Linked DNA regions of Ovis aries. The protein of the gene in region 3 interacts with the protein of the main gene of each other region in a pairwise test. Links are inferred from orthologs where the notes say so. Each region holds a gene or a part of one and is shown on either strand. Other genes may lie near its edges. The genes, in order: TRIM10, MAGED1, TTC23 and CREBZF.

Region 1 (4,845 bases), on a different chromosome or scaffold from region 3:
GAGACAGAGATGACACTTCTTCACAAATCATTGTTTCCATCTTAAATATTTTTTAAAAATTAATTGAAGTATAGTTGATTTACAGCTTTGTATTAGTTTCTAGTGTACAGCAAAGTGGTTCATAAATATTTTCAGGCTCTTCCATTATAATTTATTTCAAGGTATTGAATTTAGTTCCCTGTGCTGTACGGTAGGTCCTTGTTGTTTATCTGTTTTACATATGGTAGCTTGTATCTGCTAATCCCAAACTTCTCATTTATCCCTCCCCCACCTCCATCTTAGATATTTTATGCCCCTTCTTTCCAGGAACAAATACAGAAGTGTCTTGAATGTCTAAGAAAAGAGAGAGAGGAGATTCAAGAAATCCAGTCAAGGGAAAATCGAAGGATACAAGTCCTCCTGGTAGGTCATCATCCCTTCCTTAGCCCTCTTGCTTTCCTCTGGCTCCAGTGCCTATCTGAAATAAGGAAACATCGCATAAAGGGGCTTTGAAGTCCTTCTGAGTTTGAATCCTGAAACAAATTAGCTCTATGACCTCAAACAGCTCTCTATGCTCTGTTTATTTTCCTGTGAAGTGAAGATTAAAAATCGTCACTATCTCACTGAATTGCTGTAACGACTGTCCCTTAGTGACACGCACGTTGTTACACTTGGTAAACGGCAGGAAGTAAGGTTTCCTCACCCCCTCCTTACATCTCCTCCCGGAAATGGCAGGCCAGGTGGAAAGGAAACCACGCCGTGGTTCCAAGTCTGTCCAGGGACCTAGAGACTAGGGGACTCTGACTTTACCACCAAACCTTGGAAGATATGGATCTGGGCCAGGAGGGAGATGGGAGTGAATTAAGGAAAAAGAAGGAAAAGGAAGGGGAAGAAGAGGAGGAATAACTTCCTGGCTTCTTTCTTCTCCTGCCCTCTCAGACTCAGGTGGCCACCAAGAAACAAAAGGTGATTTCTGAGTTTGCACATCTGAGCCAGTTCCTGGAAGAGCAACAGAACATCCTATTAGCCCAGCTGGAGAAGCTGGATGAGGACATCCTGAAGCATCGGGATGAATTTGATGTCCTGGTCACTGGGGAGATCGGCCGGTTCAACACCCTCATTGAGGAACTGGAGGAGAAGAAGGAGAGACCGGCGAGGGAGCTCCTGACGGTGAGAGCTGAGCCCCCACCCCCACCCCCTGTGCTCGCCTAGGCTTTGCGGCATCTTTACCATCTGAGCCATCTCTTCTTCACTCACAGATCTTTGTACCCCAAGTGCAAGATGGGTCACAGGACCACAAGTTCTGCATTCTAAGAGTCCTTGCTTCCCCCAGAGCTCCCGGGTCACTTTGCGAAGATTGTGGTCTCTTCATCCCACCATCCATTCAGATAGGGAAGATGCTTTATTTATCTCCCAAATACTTTATTTATTTGTGAGGATCCCACAGTAAAATGCAAGTGAAAGTAGCACTTTGCAAAGCATCAAGCACTATGCAAACAAATGTCAGGTGCTGTTTTCAAGGCAAACCACTCTCTGTGCCACACCCCCCAGTCAGGATGTTCTTTCTAGTCTATGTCACTTTGTCTTGCTGGAGGAGAGATACTGGGGTCCCAATACAGCATCACAAAGGCAGCATGACTTAGGGGGACACACTTGGGACTGAGAAGCAGGTGACCTTGGGATGGGACTTGTCTTTGCCTCTGAGGGCCAGGTCACTTCACTGTCTACATCTTATAAAATAAAGCAGTTGGGCTCCAAGATCCCTGAAGCCTCATAAACCCTAAAATGCTGTGAGTCCATGGATCTGGTGTCCTTTTCTATCTAGGGCTGAGATTACAGTATTTTTGTCTTTTCTTGTGGGAAGGAGAAGTGGAAACCAATCTCTGCTTTCTCTCTTTCTCCTAGGATATCAGAAGCACTCTAATAAGGTAAGTTTGTCTCTTCTTTCCCCACACACATAAACAGACAGGCACCACATGCCTGGTTATTGCCAAACAAACATACGTTTTCACTTTACAGATAAAACTCACATGTAAACTTTCACATCCTCAATTGCATTTCCACGTATTACCATAGGTACACACCCAGCATGGCATTACCCGAAAGTGGGCAGTGAGGAGAGGAAGGGGGTCCATCCTAGAGGAATGATGTCTGCCCATGCGGACTGGCACCTCCAAGCTCAGTTAGAAGATGACCAACTGAGTCTGGGGGCAGTGCTAAGGAGGATAAATCCCAGACCCCACCATTTCTGTGCCCCTAGATGTGAAACCAGAAGGTGCCGGAAACCAGTGGCTATATCTCCGGAGCTGGGCCAGAGGATTCGGGACTTCCCCCAGCAAGCCTTCCCACTGCGGAGGGAGATGAAGATGTTTCTGGGTAAGAGGACCCCATGGAGCACAGGTGGCCATGAAGCCTGGGCTTACGAGTGGCCTCCATGCCTGCTTCCCTATGCTTGTGTGACCTTTGACAAGGCTCAAGCCTTTCCAGTGCCTTGTTTTCCTTATTTGCCGATCTTTATAAAATCTGCTTTCAGAATAATGTGACAACGAAGTGAGATAATAAAGCTGAAGCTTTCCACAAAATTTTAACTATTTGGAAAAATAATGAAACCAATCTAATCACTTGTCATGAAGTGACATGTAAGATAATGATTAACAAAAATTGGTCACTGTCAATAATTTTAAAAAGCCACAGGGGCATTTGTAATATATGATGAGCTTTTTTATGATTGTTAATTAATAGCCACTGAGAGTATTTTTCTGTGCCCTGTCTTAGCTGACTTTCCTTCCTCCTTTCCCTGGCTTTCCCCCATCCTCCACCCCATTAGCCTGGTCCTCAGAGTTGAACTGCCCATGTGGGGACCATGATCCCTTTTCCGGGACAGGGAGTGGTGATAGGTGAGGGACTGGAGGGTTTGAAATGAGAGTCAGAAATGTGGCTTGCTGCCAGCACCTCCCCCTCATCCCACATGACATCATGAATGATACCACCTAGTTCTATATGACCTGCCTACAAAAAAAAGTCACCTTAGCAGAGTTTTCCCCTAAGTCCACTTCCTGCCAGTAAGTGGCCTAGCAGAGAAGGAAGTTTTACTCTCGTCAAAGGCTGACCTTTGACTCTCCCCTAAATTATTTCCAAGCAGAATGAGAAACAAATTAACCCACTTATTTGTTCATTAAGTAGATGTTTCTTGAGCATTTACTATGTCCTGGGCTCTGTGTGAGGCATTGTTGGTAAACATGGTCTCTGCCTACTCAGAGCTAGACAGTGAGGCTCAAAATGAAGTCCCAGCCTGCATCAGCATGCCCTGGGAACTTGCCAGAAAAGCAAATCTCGGCCCCACCCTGGGCCACTTGAATCAAAAACAAGTGGTCCGGGGGCTCTGATGCAAGTTCAAGTTCAGAACCACTGGTCTAGAAGGTTCCACCTGCCATTCTTCTCTTTGTCCCTTCCCTTTCTGGGGCCTCAGTTTCCTCATCAGTGAATGTTCTGTGGTTTTGTGAGACTAATGAAATAGCATCTTGTTTTACTTCCTCTTTACAGAAAAACTCAGCTTTGAGTTGGATTATGAGCCAGGTGAGTTGCCTCTGTCAGTATGGGGAGGGAGTGAGAAATCTAAAGTTGAAAAGGACGGATAATTTTGCCGGGTTCCACACTGGAAAATGTACTAGTCAAATACATATATATCATATATATAAAAATAAATGTACATACACACATAATGTCACACATGGCAGTGATACATGTCACTGCCTTCATAAGGACTGTAGGAGAGACGCACACACTCATACCACGTACCTGACAGAAGTTCAGGTTCTGATCTGCACTTGACGAGATAGAAAGATTAAATCAGCCTGGGCCAAGGTCTATCGGGAAGGGCTTCCTGGGTGAGGGGAACTTTGATCTGGATTTAGAATAACATTTTTAGAATTGTCAGGACCCCCCACTCTCTCCCAGGTATTGTTTCATGGATGATAGGAGTGTAACCTGTGGGCAGGAAAGGAATAAAGACTGGACCCCTCTCAAGGCCATTGTTCCTAGTCTATCAGCCAAAGACACTGGGATGTCATGGGCTTCTTGGAAGCGGCTCTAATTCATGGACATATCAGAATTCACGTATTTGTCTCAGCTTATGGATACTAAAGGTAACACTATGCATAGTTTTGATGTCAAAAAGTGGCCCTCAGACGGCCTGATTGTAGATTCCTGAGGCAGAATGAATACCCCGTGGGTGAGTCAGGGAGCCTGACAGGAGCGAAGAAGACTGGGCATATGAGTCACATGCACCCAGGGAGTGATCATGAAGTTTGGACTGGGGGTGGGGGGAGGTCCCCGCCCTCTGAGGTACAGGAGGGATAGAACGTGATGTGTCAGCAGAGGAAATGAGAGCAGGCACACACAGCTCTGGGCGTCAGCCAGTTTGCAGGCTGCAGAAGTGCTTTTCAGGGGACTGCAGAGAACCAGATGAGAGCCCACGTGTCCAAACACGCTAACCAACTAACTAATGCTGTGACCAAAACAGACAGCCTATTAAAAAGCAGAGACATTACTTTACCAACAAAGGTCTGTCTAGTCAAAGCTATGGTTTTTCCAGTAGTCATGGATGGGTGTGAGAGTTCGACTATAAAGAAAGCTGAGCACCGAAGAATTGATGCTTTTGAACTGTGATGTTGGAGAAGACTTTTGAGAGTCCCTTGGACTGTAAGGAGATCCAACCAGTCCATCCTAAAGGAAATCAGTCCTGAATATTCATTGGAAGGACTGATGCTGAAGCTGGAACTCCAATACTTTGGCCATCTGATGCAAAGAACTGACTCATTGGAAAAGTCAGCATCAGCACCGCCCTGATGCTGGGCAAGATTGAGG
Region 2 (3,599 bases), on a different chromosome or scaffold from region 3:
TCACTCATTAAATCTTCTCGGTACCTCATACCAGCTAGGGATCATAGTTTCAGTTTTACAGAGAAGGAAAATAAGTCCCAGAGAGGTGAAGTGACTTGAGTGATTTGTCCAGGGTGGTACAAGCAGAGCCAGTGATGGACATAGGAAGAAGAGAAGCCTCAGGCCCCACCCTTGGGTTGCTCCTGGCCTGGTTCAGAGATGAAACTCCTGCCTGGAAGACAGTGAAAGACAAGCCCAGGACTCAGGGTGACCATTGGCTAGTAGGTCAGGCTGTCACTACAGGTGAGGGTTTTAGGGGGCCTTCCTGAAATAGATACGGTGAGGACATAGAAACACTTGGTAACCCTGACCTTCCTTTTCTTTGATGATGCAGATTAATAACTTGAATGTGGAAGAGAGTAGCAGTGGGGATCAGAGGCGGGCCCCACTGGCTCCAGGGACCTGGAGGTCTGCACCAGTTCCAGTTACCACTCAGAGCCCACCTGGCGCACCCCCCAATGTGCTCTGGCAGACCCCACTGGCCTGGCAGAATCCATCAGGCTGGCAAAATCAGCCAACCAGGCAGACCCCACCAGCACGTCAGAGCCCCCCAGCAAGGCAGACCCCACCAGCCTGGCAAAACCCAGTTGCTTGGCAGAACCCAGTGATCTGGCCAAACCCTGTGATCTGGCAGAACCCAGTGATCTGGCCGAACCCCATTGTCTGGCCTGGTCCGGTTGTCTGGCCAAACCCACTGGCCTGGCAGAATCCACCTGGGTGGCAGACCCCACCTGGATGGCAGACTCCACCAGGCTGGCAAGGTCCTCCAGATTGGCAAGGCCCTCCCGACTGGCCACTACCCCCTGACTGGCCACTGCCACCCGACTGGCCACTCCCCACTGACTGGCCGCTCCCACCTGACTGGATCCCCACTGATTGGCCAGTTCCACCAGACTGGCAAAACCTGCGCCCCTCACCAAACCTGCGCCCCTCTCCTAATTCGCGTGCCTCACAGAACCTGGGTGCCTCACAGCCCCGAGATGTGGCCCTTCTTCAGGAAAGAGTAAGAACTGTAACTTCAGTTGCTTCTCCCCACCCACCCTCACCTCTTTTCTTTGTTGTACTTCTATCTATAATTCAACCAAGTGTTCTGTCAATATCTTATAACTCTAATGAGTTCCTTTTTCCCTCTCAGGCTAATAAGTTGGTCAAGTACCTGATGCTTAAAGATTACACAAAGGTGCCCATCAAGCGCTCAGGTAGGCATTCAGTACCCTCTCCCAGAGATCTGCCCTTCCCCTCACCCCATTCTCTATGGATATCTCTGTGCTTATATGTCCCCTCCCCTTCAATCCCCTCTTTCCATGGGTGAGTCTTCCTTTTTCGCCTACTGTGTTCCCCTGGGCAGGGCTGGCAAAAATGCCACAGCTCTGTGGCCCCTGCTCAGCTCAGATGCTCCCTCCTCTCACCTGCAGAAATGCTAAGGGATATCATCCGTGAATACACTGATGTGTATCCAGAAATCATTGAACGTGCGTGCTTTGTCCTGGAGAAGGTGAGAAGGCAACCCTGAAGGACAGAATGATGGGGAAGAGTTTGCGAGGAGGGGCTTTGATAGATATTATGAGAAAGTCTTGGTTTAAAGATTCATGGGATTCCTATTGGGAGTTTGATGCAAATCACAGGGAGTGAATGTGGGTATGCTTATGCTAGATTTTGTAATTTCATAGTCTGTTTTCTTGCCCCTGTAGAAATTTGGAATTCAACTGAAAGAAATTGACAAGGAAGAACACCTGTATATTCTCATCAGCACCCCTGAGTCCCTGGCTGGCATACTAGGAACGTAAGATGGGAAAGGAGGGGAAACATTGCCATTCTCAGTGGCGGTTTTTTCCTAGGAGTTTCAAGTAGATCAGGATTCAGGGTCACATAGCAGGTCATGGGCAGAGTTGGGGTAGAGTTGTTTCCTAGCTGAGGAATACTAGGAAAGCTGGATGGGTAAACTGCCTGGGGTGCCTGTGTAAATGCCTGCTGAAAATATATTCCTTTTTTTAAAAAAAAAAAAAAACTTCTTTAGGACCAAAGACACACCAAAACTGGGTCTCCTTCTAGTGATTTTGGGTGTCATCTTCATGAATGGCAACCGTGCCAGTGAAGGTGAGTGGCCGGGCCAGCAGCTGGGGGTTGGCTGCCGCCTGATTTCCATGTTCATTTTCCATCCCTTGTCTCCCCTTGCCTCCCATTGCAGCTGTCCTCTGGGAGGCACTACGCAAGATGGGACTACGTCCTGGGTATGATTGGGCTCTCTCATCTCTTGCCTGTTATATGATTCTTTGGCAACAGAGGATGGTTCCAGGATTGCATCAACCTGGTAGTCTAAGGGAATTGGTTTGGGGAGATACAGAGCCCAAGAATGTGACCTGGGTGGATGGGGAAATAGTCCTGGTCTCTGCTTCTTCTCTTATCTCTGACTTCTGTGCTGGAAAACTGTTTTCTTTCCTTTGGGCAATGTCATAGTCTCTAATTATGAATCCCCCCCCCCTTTTTTTTTTGTTTTTTTTTTGTTTTTTTTTGTTTTTGTTTTTTTTTTTTTGCTCTCAGAGTAAGACATCCCCTCCTTGGAGATCTGAGGAAGCTTCTCACTTATGAATTTGTAAAACAAAAGTAAGCGATGCCTAAGTGGCTTGTCTTGTCCTCATGAATTCTGTGTGCTGGTCAGCCTCAGAAAGCCCTTCCCATGCTGCTCATTTCTTATATTAACTATACCTATGCATATGCATACATATATACTCAGGAATATTTACTGAGTATATTCCTTGTGGCTGAATTTTCCTGCAGTATAGTTATCTTGCAAGTGAAGCTTGTCCACCACACCCACAGTAGATATTCCTAAGGCTGGGTTAGCAGAGGCTTTGCAATGGGCCTATCTGTGGTTCAGTAACAAGATTGTAACAACCCGGAGTCAGAACTGTGGCAGAGGGGGTGAAAAAGTGTTGTCCTTTCTATGACTCTACATAAGTCATCCTCTAGTCCTAGGTGACTAGTGTAGAAACACAGGAATTTGAAGGCCTAATTATTAGAGGGTAAATAATCTGTGTTTAGGAATGAGACTGGAGGGAGTTGCTACCTGAAATCTGAGGTGTCAGAATCTCGGATTATTTTGCATTGATGGACTCTCATTTTGGCTGAGTAGAAACAAAGGCCTTTCTCCTCTTTCTAAGGTACCTAGACTACAGACGAGTACCCAACAGCAACCCTCCTGAATATGAGTTCCTCTGGGGCCTCCGATCCTACCATGAGACTAGCAAGATGAAAGTGCTACGATTCATTGCAGAGGTAATAGAGGAACAGCTCTAGACTTGATAGGTTAAGGGATGAAGTATGACTGGCTGGGAGAAGTCCAGAGCAGGAATGAGATCTTTCTTAGGTATTGCACATGGTAGGTGCCACATTGTTGGTGGTATTTTTTGTTGTTACTGTGTAAACAGTAGCACAAAGTAGGGTGCTAAGTATATAGTGGGTGCTTCATAAATATTAACTAATACTATCATGGGCTTTATTTTCTACTCCTCATCTCAGGTTCAGAAGAGAGACCCTCGTGACTGGACTGCACAGTTCAT
Region 3 (5,517 bases):
ACAGGTAAACACCAATCCACTCTATTACTGTTTAAAGCAAACAAACCTTTCCACCTTAAGAAAATTCCACACATTTTTAAGCAGGTGTGTTTTAAAGAGAAAGGAGTACCTTCGATTGACTTCTGTACTTAACTCGGTGGAATACCCACTCCAACTTCCTAATATTGGATATTAGAGGATTAGAATCGTACATTAAAAGCGTCTGTTATTTTCTCAGTACTGAGAACGTTGACAGAAGTCAGGCAAAACACATACCATTTTGCCCAGTTAATCAAGCCCTCTCGCCTTTAGAGTTTGGAAGCAGTCAGACTAGTAGAAAGGATTTCACAGACTCGGTGAAAGGATTCTGCGACCACCTAGGGCTAGGAGGGCCCGGCGGCAGTGGCGACCCGAGGCCCGGGTGGGCCCGCTCGGGCCGGGGTCCACTTGCTGCGGCCCGACGCCTCTACCAGGCTCGGCCTGCCTGGCCAGCGGCCGGGCCAGAGGGCACTGCTACGTGAGACATCCGAAGCAGCAAAGCACCACTCACCTCTGCCGGCGGAGCCAGCGCTCCCGAGCTGAGGGGCGCCGGACTGCTAGCCCGGGCTCGGCAGGCGGGGCGGAGCGCCGGCCGCGACGGGGCGGGGCGCGGGCGAAAGCGGGGCGGGACGGGGCGGGACCCTCTCTTCAGAGGTTTGGGGGAGGAGTGAGCCCGGGAGAGGAAGCTCGCGATAATACGCCCCTGTGGTCGCCGTCTTACGATAGGTCGGGCGAGATGCTCGTTTTCCAAGCGACGCGTCTATTGGTCAAAACTGCGGCTTCTCTGCGACTGCACCCGCCTCCGGCTCGGTCCTTGCTTCCGGCTCTGGCTTCGAGGGTTACGGTTGAGATGGAGGTTTGTGCTCAGAGTTTTGAGAGGGTGGTTTAGCTGGCTCCGGCCTCAGCGACCGTCAGTAATTTATCAGTTCTTTTGTTCATACGTTCACTGACGCACTTGTCCCCGTATTCAATACATACGTTGAGAAATTACAAGAATAACACCCAGTGTGTACCAGGCAAGGGTCTAAGATCTGTGCACAGGTTATCTCACTTAACTTCATGGCAATCCTATGACACAGATACTATTATTGTACTCGTTTGACGGAGGAACAACTGAGACCCGGTGGTTTTCTGTAATATGGCCAAGGTTAGTGATCAAGTAGTAAGCTTATTAAAGCACAGTATAAAAAGTCAGTGCGCGCTGGCAAGTTCGTTCCAAACTTGAGGCGGTAACCCAGTCTCTGCTCTTGAAATACTTGAAGTGTGCTGCGAGAAACGATCGTTAAAAGGACACTAACAATTTAGTGAGTAAAATACTCTGGCATTTCCTAGCATGACTGAGTCGTCTATCAATAAATATTTAAGAATATTCCCGTGTCAGCAGAAAGTCATAAAAGGAAGAATCTTTCATGCTGGTTAAAAGTAAAAAAAAAAAAAAAATCCGAGCATTGTTAGGGAACAGTACAAAATACTTTTTAAAGTTCCTCGCTTGTTAATATGACAACGTTTCTTCTGAAATGAAGTTTTAAAAAAACTTCCTCTTCAGAAACCACTATTATTCTTTGAAAAGCTTGATGTTGATTAAACTACTGGTTCATTGTCAAGCAATCTACTTAATTACTGTTAGAGGTAACCTACAGAGCAGACTTATACTAAGTAAAAATAAGACCTATGGCAAAATAACGCCTACCATCTGAAACTGACAGAAAAGTAGCCATGTGATTCTTTGTATTAATATATTATCCTGTGTGTGCCCTGCTCAGTGGTGTCGGACTCTGCCACCCCACCCACTATAGCCTGCCAGGCTCCTCTGTCCATGGAATTTTCCAGGCAAGCATACTGGAGTGGGTTGCCATTTCCCCACCTAGTGATCGAACCTGCGTCTTCAGAATCGCAGGCAGATTCTTTACCACTGAGCCACCTCGGAAGCCCATATTATCCTATGGACACTCTTAAAAGTTGTCTGAATTTGTCAAATGTAAGTTTCACACTTTGCCTCACTCAAAACAAGGGGGGCGGAGGCAATCCTCTATTCCAAACCAGTAATTTGGCAGTCTTTGGTAAACTTTAACATCAACGGGCAGTGATACCACTTTAAGAAAATTCCAAAGAAAAGACCAACCCCGTTTTAAAAATCCCACCTCTGGCTCCCAAGGATTGGGTTGCAAACTTAAACAAAATACTCTCCTCCACTCCCTATTGGTGCATAATCTATCATTCATTCTCCCTGGAATTTAGTGTGGTACCAGGTCGCTTTACGGGAAAAGACTGCTCCAATTTAGCCTGGAATTACCCAACTTTAGACTTTTATCACGGTGCTCAATCTGTAAAAAGAATCACCAAACTGATAAAACCAGTACAGCGTGGATCAAACTGTAATCAGGGTGCCGAGACAACTGTCATTCGAGCGAAAAAGAAACGGACAACTCTCAAGCCCACAGGGTAACTGACAAAGGATTTTACGACACAGTGAGAGATGTGAGAGTTAAACTTTTCTGATTTTTTTTTTTTTCTTTTGCTAGCTTTAAAGGAGTAGATGTCAAAGGAAAAGGAAATAAACTGCTGGCATAATGCAAGAATGGCAGGAGGAGAGTTTTTCAGAGGGTGTTTTTCTTTTAGAAAGAACATTATTCGCAGATTAGCAGTGGATTTTTGAATAGTAAAGGGAACAAGGTAATAAAATTTACTAAAGATTATTTTATACTCCAAGAATCTGTGGTTTGTTATTGCTTTAATATGGATTTAGAGGAACACTTAATAATGTTATTGTAATTATTAGGGGAAATAGATATTTTTCTTTGTGTATTATCATACCTAGCATAATAGGCAATCCAACTGTTAAAGTTATCATCTTTGGACCCAAGTTTTGTGTATATATGTAGATTTGGAGATTCAGGGACATATCTGCTAATGACAAAGGAAAACATAATATTGGTATATGAAATAGAATCACAAGGTGATGAATGTAAGGATAAATTCTCAAAAATGAAGTCCAGCATTTATATTTTCAAGGATGATATTTTCACTAAAACTAAAATATAAATTCAGGAAATACTGATAAATGAGGTTGATGTATATTAAAGCTTAATTTGGAATAGCAGCATTTTAAAAAAATCCAGCCCAATGTAAAATTACAAAATATAAAAACGTAATGATTCTTCAAACATTAATTCAGCTAATAAATATACCTAGTGGCACATTTATTCCTCTACAAGGCCTAGCTCAAGAGTAGGTATGCAAAAATATTTCTTGAGTGTCCTCTATTAATCCATATATGGGGATATAAAATAATGAAATACACTCTCTAAAGAAGCTCATACTCTGTCTCCCTGGGAGAAGGAGACTCAAAAAGTTTAATGAAGACTTCTAGATAGTTCTTGGTGCGTAGATGACTGTTGTAGACCATAGGTTCTTCAGGTGCTTAGGCCAGTAGAGCAGAAATATTCAGGGAGAGTTTCACAGTGGGGTTAAGACCCATTTGGGGCTTGAGCAATGGGCAAAATTTCAGTAGAAATTGTGTAGAAATTTCAGTCAAAAAAGAAAAGAAATAGCACCCCAGGTAGTGGGTGAGTTGTTACTGAATATGTGCAGCATAAAGAATAATTAACTCTGAGCAACAGAAGTTTCATTTGGGGATCTTGTTTTAATCTTCAAAAAAGAAAAAAGCATGAGAATGTTACACAGAAAGTCAAAATTGCCAGAATTAAGGAGTTTGGTCCTGGATTTTAAAAGTAATATTTGAAAAAGATAAGACTTTCAAGAACAGAGACCAGGAGCTAAAATATTAATACTATAAATAATGGAATGTAGATTGGTAGCAGCCTCATGAGACATTTTCTCCAAATATCATCACATGGGAATAACATAAATCTTGATTCATTTCTTTCTTTTATTTTAAAGCACTGATCTTGTTTTTTGTTTAGCACTATTTATTATTATGTGTAATAATATATAACAAGATACTATGTATAGATGAGGTGATAGTTGTGGTGCTATAAAACAGTAAAAGTGATTGTTTACATTGCATCGTTTTTTGCTCCTTTTCCCTCAGAATTTACCTGTATTTCTTGGTTCTATTTAACTGATTTGAGGGAATGTCAACCAAAAAAAAAGTTGTGACTGAAGAATACCATGGGAGGATGGGAGATATTCGTACTCAGACTGTAGGCTTTCACGTGACCTGTTTCTCTGAGACAAAATTCAATTCCATATACTCCATGAGCTGCTACCATGTACCAGATGATATCCTTCCAGTGGTGGGGGGTGGGGAGGGGAAAAGGTGAATCAAGGACTCCACCTCCACTCCAAAAAGCAAAGTGCTTCAGGGATACCAAGCAGAATATTTGCCTCCTGCTTCAAAATTTGCTTCAGAGAATCTGAAGGTCATCTATCCTAACTTCTTGATTAGCAGTTCTTAATCAGTTAGATGGAGAAGGATGTTGTCTCTAGCTGTGGAAAAGAATCCTGAGACAAGGCCCCTTGATGGCAGGTGTGGCAGACTGCGATGTTCACCAAGTATTCCATTTACTCCCCTGGGTATGTAGCCCTCTTTGCAGTTAGGGAGCAAATGAAATGTTAGTGCAGGTGAGTTGGGTCATGTATGGGCGATGATAATGAAAAGCCCATGCACAGTTTTTCCACCTCTGTTACTCTGCCATGACTCTTGTTGATGTACAGTTAAACCTTGGTCAACCTAGGTCTCTTGAGAGACTCTGGATCAAACATTCCTACTCCCCACCTCCATCTACACCCACTACTAAATCAAGAGGGTCTGTAGCACATAGCAGTTAGTATCTTACCTCATCATAGCCTAATAAATGATTCTGACTACCTAAGACAACTTTTTCCCTGGAGATGTTGACGTTTCATGTAAGTTTTCTTAAGGAAAAAATGCCCTAATCAACTGCGTTTCATCTATCAAGTGGATGATATGTTTGGGGAAAAGTCATCCTGTAAAGATGGTTTAATTTTCTGTCCAGTAAACATTTATTGAGGCCTATTAGGTGTCAGGCACTAATGCCATGTGACTCATCTATGTGGAGAGCCAGAATATTAAGATTGGTTTTCAAACTTTTGGGAACCTCTGTCATATTGTTTTTGTGGATCAGGGCTTCCTTCCCTATCTTATAAAAGTCTTGTAGTTAGAAGATTTATTTATAAAAGAATTACATATAAAATGGCATGGTGGTTTCATATCTATTTTTTAACAGTAAGGTATAATTTACATACTATAAAACTCACACTAAGGATATAACTCAATGATTTTTTTAAAGAAAATTTACAGAGTTGTATAGCTAGCACTACATTCCAATTTTAGAAAAATGTCCATCACTGTAAAAAGATACCTCATGCCCATTTGCAAGCACTCCTCATTCTTACCCCAACCCCGGCCAATCAATAATAAATTTTCTGTCTCTATAGACTTGCCTTTTCTGGACATTTAATACAGATGGAATCATGCAATATGTGATATTTTGCATCTTGCTTCTTTCACTCAGC
Region 4 (5,566 bases), on a different chromosome or scaffold from region 3:
CAATCCATGATCTTGATTTTGCCTTAGGAGAAAATACAGTTCGATTGGATGACCAGCCATACAAAACACCTGTTAAAGTATGCCAGAAAATTTATCATCTTGAACTGTTTGCTGTTCTACTTTTGCAAAACCTTTCCTAATGGGGTTTCTCTGGTGGCTCAGAGGGTAAAGCATCTGCCTGCAATGGTAGAGACCCGTGTTCGATCCCTGGGTCGGGAAGATCCCCTGGAGAAGGAAATGGCAACCCACTCTAGTATTATTGCCTGGAAAATCCCATGGACAGAGGAGTCTGATAGGCTAAAGGTTATGGGGTCGCAAAGAGTCAGACACGACTGAGCAACTTCACTTTTCCCTTTCTTTCTTTTCCTAATGGGAAGGTTAAGGAGTTACCTGGAGGCCACTAATTTTTTCTTCTAGATACCATCAGTCAGTTAGTTCAGTCACTTAGTCGTGTCTGCCTCTTTGTGACCCCATGGACTGCAGCACACCAGGCATCCCTGTTCATCACCAACTCCTGGAGCTTGGTCAAACGCATGTCTAGATACCACAGGTCATGCTTATTTGTGTCCCTTGCAGAATCGTTTTTAATTGAATTTTAATGCAATGCCTTCAGTTAAAAGTTGGAAACCTTCTTCATTCATTCAACAAATAATTATCAAAGCCTACCCTGTGTTTGGGACCTATTAGTGTCCAAATTTCCTGGAACTTGCTTTGAATCCTTCTAAGAAACAGCCAAATAAAGGAAACTATTGGTGAGGTTATCTGCTACTTTATGCAGTATCCCATTGAAAAATTTCTTTAAGATGTGAGAACAGGAAAAGCAGTTAAGGAATTCATGTATACTTATAAGCAAATAAAGGAAAGTTTGTTTGTTTGGGTTACCAAGAAGCTTAGTCTACTGAACTAGCTCAACATGAGTAACATGAGTAAGATTTTATGTCCATCCGATTCTGAAACAAACCTTTCCTCCTTTTAGAACTCCTTATCTTTTTCATCTGTATTTTCACTGACCTTGCTTTGTAAAAATGTGAGTTATTTCACTGTTTTTTTAGTGTATTTGTGAACTGCTTCAAACCTGAAATCCTTGTGGGTTTTAAGGAACAATATAAACACCACCATGAGGAAACAGACAAATCCAGATTGTGGTGGATTTTTCAAGACAACTGACTTTGTTTTTTCCAAAAAGCCAATGTGAAATGTAAAAGGGGGTGTTCTAGTTTGACAAATGGGGGGCGGGGGAACATAACAAATGCAAGAAGTGGTTTGTGATTGGATCCTGGCTCAAAAGAACACATCTGCTATAAAAGATTATTTTTGAAGAATGCTGAACAAATTTTGAATATGATATGTGTAATAGGTAATATTAACAAGATTGTTAATTTTCTCCAGACCTGATAATAGTAGTATGATTATGAAAGAGAATGTTATTTTTAAAGATGCATACGGAAGCATGTTGAGGTGGTGTGTTTTGTTTCAAACTTTGGGATAATTCAGCAAAAAGTTTTACAAACATTTATATACAGATAAAGTGTATATGGCAAACTGTTAATTGTTGAGTCTAGGTATTGGTTTGTATCGTTGAATTAGAATACTCTTTCACATATTCTGTTTATTTGTAAATTTTTTAAACAATTTGGAAACATTACATAAGAATGACTTATTTACCTCTTTTTTCTTCTAGTACTATTTAAGTGTTTGAATGAAACCATCTTGTACTATAGCGTAAGGGAGCGGGGCAATTTCAAAAAGGATTTGATCAGCAGTCTTAAATTCCAGGATAACTTTGATTATTCATAGATGTGGTATCGATCAGTTCTGAGCGAGAGTTGCTTCACTGCAGGTGGAAGCTAGAATACAGAGGACAGAGAAGCGAGGGCCGAGAGGGTAGACCACCGTTCCAATAAATCCCTGGTTTGTTGTTATTTTTGCCGCTGTTACTATGACATCACTGCAGATCTGGAAATACGCCCGGTCTACCGAACTCTCGCGATACTAGAGCCCAGTGGAGCGCGAAATGCGGTGGGAGGGGCTGGAACGAGATCCACTGACTTCCGGCCAGGCCGTTGTCTGGGTGGCGCGGTCGAGTCATCGCTGGGCCTCGCTGCTTCCAGCTCCCTTCCCTGCCCCCCGCCCCGGCGCGGGGGGTCGACTAGCCAAGCGGGGGCGGGAGGCGACGCGGACCTTCCCCTTTCTTTCGTTCTGGCCTGCTCCCCGGCTACCCGTTCTGGGTCCCTGGGACCCGCGAGGCCCGATCTGAGGGCCCGGGGCCTACGTGGGCCCGCCGCCGGGCCCCATGAGGCATAGCCTGACTAAACTGCTGGCGGCTTCGTGCAGCGACTCCCCGACGCGTAGTGAGAGCCCGGCGCCCGTCGCGACCTGCTCGCTGCCCCCGGACCTGACCGGGGCGGCGGAGGACGAGGGGACGGCGGCGGCCGGATCTCCCGGCCGCAGACAGCCGCGCGGCGACGAGGGCGAGTCGGAGGCCGGGAGGGGGGGCCGCGGCGGCGTGGCCGCGCGCGCGCCCTCGCCTGAGGAGATGGAGGAGGAGGCGATGGCCAGCGTCCCCGGGGAGGAGACGGAGGACATGGACTTTCTGTCCGGCCTGGAACTGGCGGACCTGCTGGACCCCCGGCAGCCGGACTGGCACCTGGAGCCCGGGCTCAGCTCGCCGGGGCCCCTCTCCTCGTCCGGCGGAGGCTCGGACAGCGGTGGCCTGTGGAGAGGCGACGACGACGACGAGGCCGCGGCTGCCGAGATGCAGCGCTTTTCGGACCTGCTGCAGAGGCTGTTAAACGGCATCGGAGCTTGCAGCAGCGGCAGTGACAGTGGCGGCGGCGAAAAGAGGCGGAGAAAGTCCCCGGGAGGCGGCGGCGGAGGCGGCGGCAGCGGCGGCGGCAACGACAGCAACCAGGCGGCGACAAAGAGTCCCCGGAAGGCGGCGGCGGCGGCTGCCCGCCTCAACCGGCTGAAGAAGAAGGAATACGTGATGGGTCTGGAGAGCCGAGTGCGGGGGCTGGCCGCCGAGAACCAGGAGCTGCGGGCCGAGAACCGGGAGCTGGGCAAGCGCGTGCAGGCACTGCAGGAGGAGAGTCGCTACCTTCGGGCCGTCTTAGCCAACGAGACCGGACTGGCTCGCCTGCTGAGCCGGCTGAGCGGCGTGGGACTGCGGCTGACCACCTCGCTCTTCAGGGACTCGCCCGCCGGGGACCACGACTACGCTCTGCCTGTGGGGAAGCAGCAGCCGGACCCGTTGGAAGACCAGGACGACTCGGCCGGAGGAGTGTGTCTGCATGTGGACAAGGATAAGGTGTCGGTGGAGTTCTGCTCGGCGTGCGCCCGGAAGGCGTCGTCTTCTCTTAAAATGTAGGGTCAAGTAATCCGCTCTTTATCCGCGTTTATCCCCTTTCAACTCCCTTACATCATGTAAAACACCTTAGTGGGACATCGTCACTGGACACATTTCAGAGAAGGAAAAAAAAGTAATATTGAATCTTTAAGTGTTTAGCTAAAAGCATGAATGTGACACTGTAACCAACTCCTAATGATAACATGTGACTATTAAATCTCTCTGACAGTTTCTTTTTTAGGTGATTTCCTTCCTGCCAGGCTCCGTTGTAGGGGTTACAGAACAGTCGTTCCCGCCTCACCACCTGGTAAGGACCCATCTCTTCACGTAACGCTCATGCTCTGCTGCTTAGTCTACTTTAATGGGCAACATCTCAATTTGTGCGTGTGTGTGATTTTTTTTTTGTTGTTTGTTTGTTTGTTGTTTTCTTTTTCGGAAGTTGGGAGGGGAATCTAATTTGGGCCCTGTCCACCCTGGAAACAGACTTGTGCTGGTCAATAATGTACTCAAGATGCTTCTTCTGGTTGAAATAGCTGTTAATGTGTCCCCTTGTTCAGACTTGCGTGTACCTAGCTCTTCTGTCCCCAGTGTGGACATGGCCTTGGATGACATCGGTTCCAACTGTACACTGAAAGCTGCTAATAGAGATACAGTTTGGAGACAGTGACACAGGTGAAGTTGAATGGAACTTCCGAGTTGTACAAGGTGCAAATTGGAATTCCAATTTTAGAGCAACTTTTCAGAGGTTGACAATAAGTACTTGGGGCATGCACAAATGTGACAGTTACTTTGCTGGAGATGACAGAAATCTCTTAAATATAAGAATGCCTTTCAGTTTTAATAGATCTAGACATACAGTCTATTCAGATTAATAGATTTTTATATTTCACCATTAGAGAAGTTGGAAATTAACATGCACACCAGACTCCTGTGTTAGTTACTTGAAGGAGGAATAAGAATGGTTAATGAAATGTTTCTTTGAGGACCAGCACAGTGATTACCCTATCACTGAGTATGAAGAAATTGTTGAACACCTTTATTTTTGTTGTATTAAATTTTTAGGTTAAATTTATGTATGATTAGATATTGAAGGTTATGAAATGTGAATGAAAACGTGTAAAGTGAGGCTTCACAAAGAATCTTACTCTCCATATTTCAAAGGTATTTGTCCTACTTAATGACACGATTGACACTTTTCCAAAGTTGGGACACAGTCTTCCTTTGAAGTACTCTGTCATCCGATTGTATATAGATTTAGCCATGATGTCCTTCAATGTACGGGACATGAAGAAATTCTTTGTGAAACATCACTGTTTGATAAAGTATATACGTATTTAGCATCCTTGTTTTTCTTTGTGCTAAAGTGGATACAGCTGTTGGGGCAGAAGAGACGGGACCAGCTGCTGGCCACATTTCCTGCTTTATTTTAAAAGGTAGTATAAGAAATGAGGAAAAAGAGGTAATATCAGGGCTTCTGCTTTTATTTTAAAATGTTCATAATTAAAAAGTATTTTCCAGCAGTCCAAAGATGTAAGTTATCTTACACATAAAATGTTTTATTTTGTTGTTATTTGGTTATGAAAATGGAATCTTGTTCTTGCACAACTGTAAATGTTTTGTTGCTAGATAATACACTCTGAGACCTAACTTGGTCTCTGGTTTCCAGTGCATTACAGCATATTTTGTAAAATCATCTACTGCACTTGAGCATGAATACGGATAGTAGCCAAACTCACAACCTGGAGTGATGAACCTGCTTATACCTAAGTGCAGGAGCAAGCCCCTCACAATGCAGCTGCATGGATTTTTAGTGCCTACTGAATAATATATAATATATATAAACCAAAAGTAGTTGGAAAAATTATTTGAAATGACTAATTTGTGCTATCTTTATGGAATATGTTAAATGTAGCTTTTTGAAACAGAAGCCTTGAATTGAAATTTAATTAATACTTGAACATTTTGTATATATATATCTTTGTATATAATTTTGTGCAGTACCAATGACAAAAATATGGTGTCATAATAAAATCAGGTTTGTTGATCTTTCAGTTATGGGCTCAAAGAATTTATTCATCTCTAACATGACATTGGAAAACAATGGATGAAAATAGGAAAAATGATTGTTGTTAATGCTGTGGGTCTTAGGTTCTGGAAGCAGTAAGTGCGTTTTTCTAAAAATACCATTCCTTTGGAATATTTTCTTCCTAATGTCAATGA

The links.
Region 1: the proteins of TTC23 (region 3) and TRIM10 interact in binary tests that used the Homo sapiens proteins (3 or more experiments, as listed by UniProt). The two-hybrid records come from large-scale screens. The link is inferred for Ovis aries from reciprocal best matches to the Homo sapiens genes TTC23 and TRIM10.
Region 2: the proteins of TTC23 (region 3) and MAGED1 interact in binary tests that used the Homo sapiens proteins (3 or more experiments, as listed by UniProt). The two-hybrid records come from large-scale screens. The link is inferred for Ovis aries from reciprocal best matches to the Homo sapiens genes TTC23 and MAGED1.
Region 4: the proteins of TTC23 (region 3) and CREBZF interact in binary tests that used the Homo sapiens proteins (3 or more experiments, as listed by UniProt). The two-hybrid records come from large-scale screens. The link is inferred for Ovis aries from reciprocal best matches to the Homo sapiens genes TTC23 and CREBZF.

Annotation. Positions count from the first base shown.
Region 1 is NC_056073.1:27,848,320-27,853,164, forward strand, and holds part of TRIM10 (tripartite motif-containing protein 10), read left to right. Parts: intron 1-306; coding exon 307-402; intron 403-918; coding exon 919-1,149; intron 1,150-1,884; coding exon 1,885-1,907; intron 1,908-2,239; coding exon 2,240-2,355; intron 2,356-3,522; coding exon 3,523-3,555; intron 3,556-4,845. UniProt on the Homo sapiens protein: E3 ligase that plays an essential role in the differentiation and survival of terminal erythroid cells. May directly bind to PTEN and promote its ubiquitination, resulting in its proteasomal degradation and activation of hypertrophic signaling.
Region 2 is NC_056080.1:53,607,426-53,611,024, reverse strand, and holds part of MAGED1 (melanoma-associated antigen D1), read left to right. Parts: intron 1-373; coding exon 374-1,042; intron 1,043-1,174; coding exon 1,175-1,238; intron 1,239-1,454; coding exon 1,455-1,534; intron 1,535-1,730; coding exon 1,731-1,822; intron 1,823-2,056; coding exon 2,057-2,136; intron 2,137-2,227; coding exon 2,228-2,270; intron 2,271-2,580; coding exon 2,581-2,643; intron 2,644-3,200; coding exon 3,201-3,315; intron 3,316-3,558; coding exon 3,559-3,599. UniProt on the Homo sapiens protein: Involved in the apoptotic response after nerve growth factor (NGF) binding in neuronal cells. Inhibits cell cycle progression, and facilitates NGFR-mediated apoptosis. May act as a regulator of the function of DLX family members.
Region 3 is NC_056071.1:6,835,347-6,840,863, forward strand, and holds the start of TTC23 (tetratricopeptide repeat protein 23), read left to right. Parts: upstream 1-2,254; 5' UTR 2,255-2,496; intron 2,497-2,540; exon of another isoform or gene 2,541-2,691; intron 2,692-5,517. UniProt on the Homo sapiens protein: Participates positively in the ciliary Hedgehog (Hh) signaling.
Region 4 is NC_056074.1:9,414,434-9,419,999, forward strand, and holds the start of CREBZF (CREB/ATF bZIP transcription factor), read left to right. Parts: upstream 1-2,046; 5' UTR 2,047-2,293; coding exon 2,294-3,363; coding exon of another isoform or gene 3,364-3,367; exon of another isoform or gene 3,368-3,575; coding exon 3,576-3,591; 3' UTR 3,592-4,779; exon of another isoform or gene 4,780-5,566.